Ovis aries: one gene and its partner. The protein of the gene in region 1 interacts with the protein of each later gene in a pairwise test. Links are inferred from orthologs where the notes say so. Each region holds a gene or a part of one and is shown on either strand. Other genes may lie near its edges.

Evidence for each region. The genes of interacting proteins can lie anywhere in the genome.
Region 2: the proteins of VCP (region 1) and UBXN2A interact in binary tests that used the Homo sapiens proteins (3 or more experiments, as listed by UniProt). The link is inferred for Ovis aries from reciprocal best matches to the Homo sapiens genes VCP and UBXN2A.

What each region holds. Positions count from the first base shown.
Region 1 is NC_056055.1:53,402,400-53,405,971, forward strand, and holds part of VCP (transitional endoplasmic reticulum ATPase), read left to right. Parts: intron 1-1,037; coding exon 1,038-1,149; intron 1,150-1,334; coding exon 1,335-1,507; intron 1,508-2,592; coding exon 2,593-2,735; intron 2,736-3,302; coding exon 3,303-3,433; intron 3,434-3,572. UniProt on the Homo sapiens protein: Necessary for the fragmentation of Golgi stacks during mitosis and for their reassembly after mitosis. Involved in the formation of the transitional endoplasmic reticulum (tER).
Region 2 is NC_056056.1:31,665,455-31,669,628, reverse strand, and holds the start of UBXN2A (UBX domain-containing protein 2A), read right to left. Parts: upstream 2,857-4,174; 5' UTR 2,517-2,856; coding exon 2,459-2,516; intron 2,351-2,458; exon of another isoform or gene 2,164-2,350; intron 1-2,163. UniProt on the Homo sapiens protein: Acts to repress the ubiquitination and subsequent endoplasmic reticulum-associated degradation of CHRNA3 by the STUB1-VCP-UBXN2A complex in cortical neurons.

The DNA of each region.
Region 1 (3,572 bases):
GAGAAATTGGTGTTGGGAAGTGGTTTAGGTAGTTTATTTAGGTAGTTTAAACTGAGTTCAGACTCAGGCAACCTTGATGTAGACAAGAGGGATTTGGATTTGTCCCATGTCTTAGCATTTCTTGGTTTTAACTTTTTGAACCAACTCCATGGAGTTGTGTATCTTCGCAGAGATAACCTTGAAACTCCATTTGAGCTTGAGCTTCTTTCTGGTGAAGATTCCAGATCTGATAGTGTTTTCTGTTCACTTTTTTCAAATATGGTGGTCTTTATGCTTTGCATTCCTGTGGTGCACAGAATGCTCTGGCATTCAGCAGGTTTAGCCAGTAGGAAGGGCAATTTCTAATGATTCTTCTTCATAGCTTCCAGGCTTACTCTGTGGGGCTTGGGGCCTCTCCAAGCCCCATGGGAGGTCATCTTACTGCAAGAAGATCAGCAAAGAAAGAGTTTGTGCTATGTTCTACAATGCTAATCATTCTAAACCTCAGATACCATATGCCAGACAATCATATCTCACTTAAGACAGTCCATTTTGCATTCAGCATCTCACTATCTTAAGATAGTAATCCTCTGAGATGAGTGCTACTGTAGTCTCCATTTTATATCAGCCTCCAGAGAGGTCAAATCACTTGCCCAAGATCACAGCTAAGTGGCAGGGTTGGAATTCAGACCCAACAGGTCTGACTGCAGAGCCCCTTCTCTTAATCACTATTCTATACTGTCTAAGACTATTTCCATTTGTCTAATTACTGCTCAGCCTCCACTTTTATTTTGTTTTCTTAGTTTCCTGACCCTAGGCAAGATCACCTGGGCGTTACAGCAGGGATACCATTACTCGGAATACCAAGAGTTGCTGAAATAGGAATTGTAATATGTACTTGATAAGCATTCTTGATCTTGGCTGACTTTCTTTTTGTTTGAGCTCTATGTGGGGATAACTTCATCAATGCACTATTTCATTCTTAAGTGTGAGTTTTAGAGACTGGTGGGGACGTTGCTGGAATTTGTTTTGGAACTGACTTCTTTTTCTCTTTCTAGTTCAAAAGGCGATGATTTATCAACAGCCATTCTTAAACAGAAAAACCGTCCCAATCGGTTAATTGTTGATGAAGCCATCAATGAGGACAACAGTGTGGTATCCTTGTCCCAGGTAAGTTGGGTCCACAGTCCAATCTTTGCTTATTGCATTTAACCTGAGGGCTTTTCCCAGGTTTCTTTTCTCATTTTTCTTGCAGTGACCACAGATAGAATGGGGTTTACTGGGAATCCCAACCTCCAGGGCTGCTGCTTATCCCCTGGCCCAATGACCCAAAGGCCTTAACCTTCTTTCCTCAGCCCAAGATGGATGAACTCCAGTTGTTCCGAGGTGACACAGTGTTGCTGAAAGGAAAGAAGAGGCGGGAAGCTGTGTGCATTGTGCTTTCTGATGACACATGTTCTGATGAGAAGATTCGAATGAATAGAGTTGTTCGGAATAACCTTCGCGTACACCTGGGGGATGTTATCAGGTGTGTGTGGAGTTCTTGGCCCCTCGGGGATGGGAGGCCAGAGACTGCCTGCTTTACAGGCAGTACCCCCATAAAGGCCTTGGCAACTGCAGATATTGGGAGCTTATAGGCCATGGGAAGGCTTAGGTTTCTAGGTTGTCTTTAGGTTTTGGGTCTGCCTCTGGGACTTCAAAATCTGCCTCTTCATGATCCTTGGAACAGGTTGGCATTTCTTGACTTTCTTGGTACCTTTATTTTTTTCTGCCAGGGGTCACACCATAGAACTTGGTTTAGGATGCCATTTGAGGGCTGTATCTGCCAAATAAGCTTATAGCCTTGCATTGATGGCTTTTGTCAGGGCTAGAATGAGATGGGAGTATGGGCATGGAAGGTGGACTCCTAGCAGGTTTGTATAAAGATCCAAGCTAATCGAGGTGAGAGGCATAGTTTGAGCCAGGCCTAGGATAGTTCCAGTTTGAGTGATTAGACTTTAGGCAAGAGGTTTCTCCGTCTTGAAGTCATCCCTGGCCACTGCTACCCAGGCCACTGCTACCTGTCACCTGGCCAGGAACATCTCAGGCTTCAGATTCTTTTGGGGGGGATTCTAGGTTTTATGGAGCCTTCTTCCTGGAAGTGCTTAGTCACTTTCTCAAGGTGCTCTGACCACCTGACTGAGATGATTTTTTCACATGTATTTCTCTGACCCTGACACTTGTCAGACTAAGGTCCCCTTTTGTAGTGTTGGGTTACCAGTAGTAACCAGAATGGGTCATCCTTGGATATGTCTCATTGAAGACCTTCCCTTCTGTGTCTTCGTGGGGATTCCAGATGTGTGGGTCTTTCTTTTGCCTCACCAATTGTGAGTGGGCAGTCTCAGCAGCTTCTTCTAGAGGCTCCCCCTATCACTCTACCCTGCATATGACCTGTTCTGCTTGGCTGTTGCTTTGCCCTCACTCCAACACTACCCTCTTGCCTCTCTTCACCTAAAGCCATCCCTGCCTTTTCTCTTTCGCTCGCCATCAGCTCTCTGTGCCAGGCCCTTTTGGACACCCAGAGCTTGGGGCTGCGATGTGGTTGGTAATGTGGAGTCTGCTTGTCATCCTCAGCATCCAGCCATGCCCTGATGTGAAGTACGGCAAACGCATCCATGTACTACCCATCGATGACACGGTGGAAGGCATCACTGGCAATCTCTTTGAGGTTTACCTTAAGCCATACTTCCTGGAAGCTTATCGACCCATCCGGAAAGGTGAGAAATAATTCTAAGGACTGAACTCAAGGGCAATTGTTGTAGGGATACCCAAAAGTAAACCTTGGTCCATCTTTGTCTATTCTCATACATGTGTGCATACATACACATTCTGTACATGTGTACTTTCTCCTTCCCTGCTTCCTTGCACTTCCCTTTTTCCCATTCCCACTGTTTGCTCCAGTACAGTAAGCTATCTTCTCTTGTATCTCTGAAGGAAGAGGTGGGCAATTTGGGGTGTATCACAGTCCACAGTGTATTTAATACTTAACGCAGTTCTGCTGGTGGTGGTTGTGCAAGCTTGGGTTATCTATATCCCAGAAGTCAAAAATCTTATGGGTTTCTTCCTGGCACATCAGGTTTTATTCACTGTCTTTTAAGGGGCAGAGAGACTTTTCACAATTCAGCTTTCTCTTTTTGCCTGATGCTTAATAAGATGTGGATGGGAAGGAGAAAGGACAGTATCTAGTGAACTTGGCATTCTAGATCCCAGGTTCTGATGGGGAGTTCTTAGCTTGGTCTGGTGATAGATACCTCTGACTGCTCTTGTGCTGATTGCTCTCACAGGAGACATTTTCCTTGTCCGGGGTGGAATGCGTGCCGTAGAGTTCAAAGTAGTGGAGACAGATCCCAGTCCTTATTGCATTGTTGCGCCAGACACAGTGATCCACTGTGAAGGGGAGCCTATCAAACGAGAGGTGAGTTCTCTTCCTGATCCCAGTATCCCACTTTGTGAGTGCTCAGCAAGGCAGTAGTGTGGTAGTTCCAAAGAATCCTCAGGCTTGATGGTTAAGCTACTTCCCAGAGGTGGAAAGCATAGCTATTCATTTCTGGACA
Region 2 (4,174 bases), on another chromosome or scaffold:
TACTTATTTTTAAAAACATACTACAGGCTATTTTTTTTTAAAGATTATTAATTTGAATCAAGATATTGTACCACTAGGCATGCTATGCAGAAACTAGTTTCTCCTTTAAGGATAAAGTCATTCAGCACAAAGGAAAAGAAACCAATGGATCACGTTTCAGTTACGTCTTCCACAGAATAGGATTAGGCCACCAAGAGCAAACTATGGCAGCATCAGATTCAAACACTAGTAAGACAGTTATTTGTATATTTTGTGAATTCTAGTTTATTAACTATTATGTATATAACAATTTAAAAAATGAAATCTTTTGGAAAGTTTTAGCTTAGCTTAGCTGTAATCCCAGTAGTGAAGAACATACATTTTTGCTATCTTCTATTAATAGAAAAAATTGTTAAGGAGGGAGTTATACGCTCACAAGGACCACAACAATAGTGACAAAAGTAATTTCAATGAGAAAATCTTAGGAGAAAGGTGAAACTTCTGCAAAAAACCCTCCAGATCCCTGAGTTAGCTACTGTTTTGACACCAAGATATTCTCATTCCAGAATGGGCTCCATACTGTTATTTCCCTTGCAAAACCCATCTCAAATACAATCTCCTTTAGAAAACCTTCCACGATTCCTCCAAAAGGCATGAATATAGAATTACTAACACAACAAGGAGAGATCAATTACGTACTTTTTGAATCTGCCCTACCTTCACAACCACAACCCTAGTACCATCTTCTCTAGGTGGTTTCCCCACATCCATTCTTGTTCCCATCCAATTCAGTTTCTACACAGGAATCAAGGTGACATCTTTTTTTTTCTTAATGACAAGCAGCTTACGGGATCTTAGTTCCCAGACTAGGATCAAACCAGGCCCTCGACAGTCAAAGTATGGAATCCTAACCACTGGACTGCCAGGGAATTCTCTTTTTTGTTGTTTTGTGTTTGTTTTGTTTTTTGTCAGGGTGACCTTTTTGATTAAGATACAGATTTGATTATGAGACTTTCCTGCTTCAAATGCATCAAGACCTCCCACTATTCTTCAAATAAGATCCAAATACCTTGGATAACATGACAAGGAGTTAACTGCAATGTTCTCTCACTACATTTGAAAAGTTTGAAAGTTTTGGTATAAACATTTTTTAAAAAAGAAAAGAAAAAACTGGTTCCCAAAACTTAACATTATTTAAAAGGCCCCACATCATCTCTCTGGCCCGAACTAACCACAGTCCCCTCAATTCACCTGTTCTGATCTTCAGTTCCCCAAACATTCTCAAGTCTTTGTGGAACTGATTTCCTTTGCCTGGATCTTTCTTTCCCTCCTTTTGAAACCGTTTTGGTGTCCTTTCTGGGGGCAGGGGTGGGGTGTGGGGTCCAAAGAGCTCCAGTACTGGGAATCTCCTTCACCTAATTTCCTACTTATCCATAATAACTGAGCTCAAAGATGACCTATTCCTAGGAAAATCTGAACTGATTTCTTCAGTCCCCGGTTATATGCTCACACAACACCGAACATTCCCTCTTTTCAGCTTCTTTCTAGGTAGAGGATGACATGGTTAGATAACTATCTAACCAAAGGACAGGAGTTTGAGCAAACTCTGGGAGACAGCAGAGGACGGAGGAGCCTGGCTTGCTGCAGTCCATGGGGTCGCAGAGTCGGATATGACTTAGCATAGGAAAAACAAGTTAGGTAAGTAGGCATTTACTTGTGTGATTATTCGTTTCCTCCAATGACACTGCACAAACGTATAATGGTCACTGTCATAGCGTCAGCACTCAGCACACAATAGGTACTAAAAACATTTGAATGATAAATTTAGTAATTAGCATTAAATATTCCGTAATTAAAGTCTTCATGTAAAGTACGACACGCAGGGCTAAAAGTCAGTGCTCAATACGTAGTAGTTTCTGCCTTGCATCACTTTTGTTGTGTGCTTAATTACTCCCTCCATTCTGCACACAATTCTTATTCATTTTTTGGATTCCACCAGTGCCTGTCTCTGGAGAAGGCAATGGCAACCCACTCCAGCACTCCTGCCTGGCAAATCCCATGGACAGAGGAGCCTGGTGGGCTGCCGTCTATGGGGTCGCACAGAGTCGGACACGACTGAAGCGACTTAGCAGCAGCAGCAGCGCCTGTCTCTAACTTTACCTTATAAACAGAACCAAAACACACCTGAGCCACGACTATGAAATAAGGAAGCTTGATTTTCACGTCGCTTATAAAATCGATCCCATTTTACAATCCCACATTAGTAGAGGCTGCCAGTTTCCTATCTTTACTTTCAATGATCTCAGATTGAGTACGAAGAAACCAATGCTGGAAACCACACTAACGTTCGTTATTGCTAACAAGCAACAAACTGCAAATAAAAATGGACACAGAGGAAAAGAAGAAATTAAGTAGGAAAAGAGAGACCATCAAGTCTACAAAATAAAAGTGAGTTTTAAGAGCCAACTAATGAAGTTACCTAAGAAAGGTCCACCCCACACAAACATGCGCTTTATTTCTGCGCTGCGAGTCTGCATTTTGAGAACAGAGAACTCGAAGTTTCCGAGCGCCCGCAGAGAGAGAAAACCACCGGGGCGCGTGCCCGGAGTCGGCGGCCCCGGAGCCGCGCCTCACCTGCGCGGGCCCCGAGTCCGCCCCGCCCGCCGCCCCACTGCGCCCTTTCGGGGTCGCGGACCGGAGCTCCGACTAAGACGGGGCAAGGCGGCTCCGCCAGACCCATCCAACCCATCCACCGGGCCCCGCCCGGCGGCCGGCCCGTCCCCTCACCCAGCCGAGCTCCGGGAAACTCACCTCCCGGCGCGGCCGCTGGAGGGGGCCGCGCCGCGCCGTCGCCTCGCGGCCTCGGTCTGTCTGCTCAGGGGCCGCAGGCGCCGCCGCCGCCGGGCTGGAGCCCCTCAGATGAGGAGCACCGCCGCCCCCAGGCCCAGTCGAGCTCGGCGGCCGGGCCGCTGGAACCGCGCGCGCCTCCCTCGGTCAACGCCGCCGGGCGCCGAGTACGCGCCGAGGCTGGCTCTGCGCAGACCCGAGCGCGCGCGCGGGGGCGGGGCTGGCGGCGGCGGCGGCGGCGGCGGCGGCGGCTCGCCCAGTGGCCCGCGCCGATGGCGGCCGCCTCCTTCCTCCTGCGGACGCTGCTGCTTCCTATCTCTCCACTCGGCGCGGAAGACGCAGGGAGCTAGGTGTGGGCTCATCTCAGAACTCAGCACCAACTTACCTGTGTACTTCGTCAGCCTCTGATTGAATCTGCGGAGAGATTTCCCTGCATCCTGACCATGTTGAACTTTACCTGAGCCCCGAGATGCCGGGAAGCAACGGTTAAAAGCACCCACCCCCCGCCCCTTCCGTCCCCCCGCGACCCTTTCGTGTCCCTGGAAGGTCTGACAACAGGAAACCACACTTCCCCCCGCGGTTTATTCAGACTCACGGATGTCCCCTTGTTTACCCATGACAAGGTCAGACATAGACCCTCCAAATAGCCGTTCTCTTTGCTTCATGATTGATTGTCTTTACTGATTGTGCCCACTGACAATCTGGACAAAATACCAGCTACCTTGTTTTGGCCAAACTTAAGATTCTCTCCTTCCTCCAGGCTCCTAGAACTTGGACCCACTCTCAGCTTGACCTAGCCTACAATCCCCCCTTCACCATCACTGAAAAGTAGGCTGACCTCCACATAAACCACCCTGATCTGCTGAGTGATCAACTGCCACCTCCACGCATCCATCCCCCTGGCCCTATGCCCAGTTCTGTGAAGTCTTTGTTCCTCCTCCCTATAAAAGAAGGGCCCTTTTCTGTCTGCCTACAATGCGGGAGACGCTGGTTCGATCCCTGGGTCGGGAAGATTCCCTAGAGAAGGAAATAGCAACCCACTCCAGTACTCTTGCCTGGAGAATCCCATGGATGGAGGAGCCTGGCAGGCCACAGTCCATGGGATCGCAAAGAGTCGGACAGGACTGAGCGACTTCACTTCACTTTTCTGACTAACCCTGGAGGTAAGTTGCAGGCCTCTGTGATAGCATTCCCTGATAGTGATGGTTGTTGCCTCAGCTACCACATCTCATTGCAGTAGTTTCTTTTCCTCTTCTTGGAATAATCCTTTCCAATAGTCTCTCTTTATCTAAATCCAGGACTTTTTTGTTTGTTTTGGACAACTGTGTTCCTCCCTTTGTATTTATCC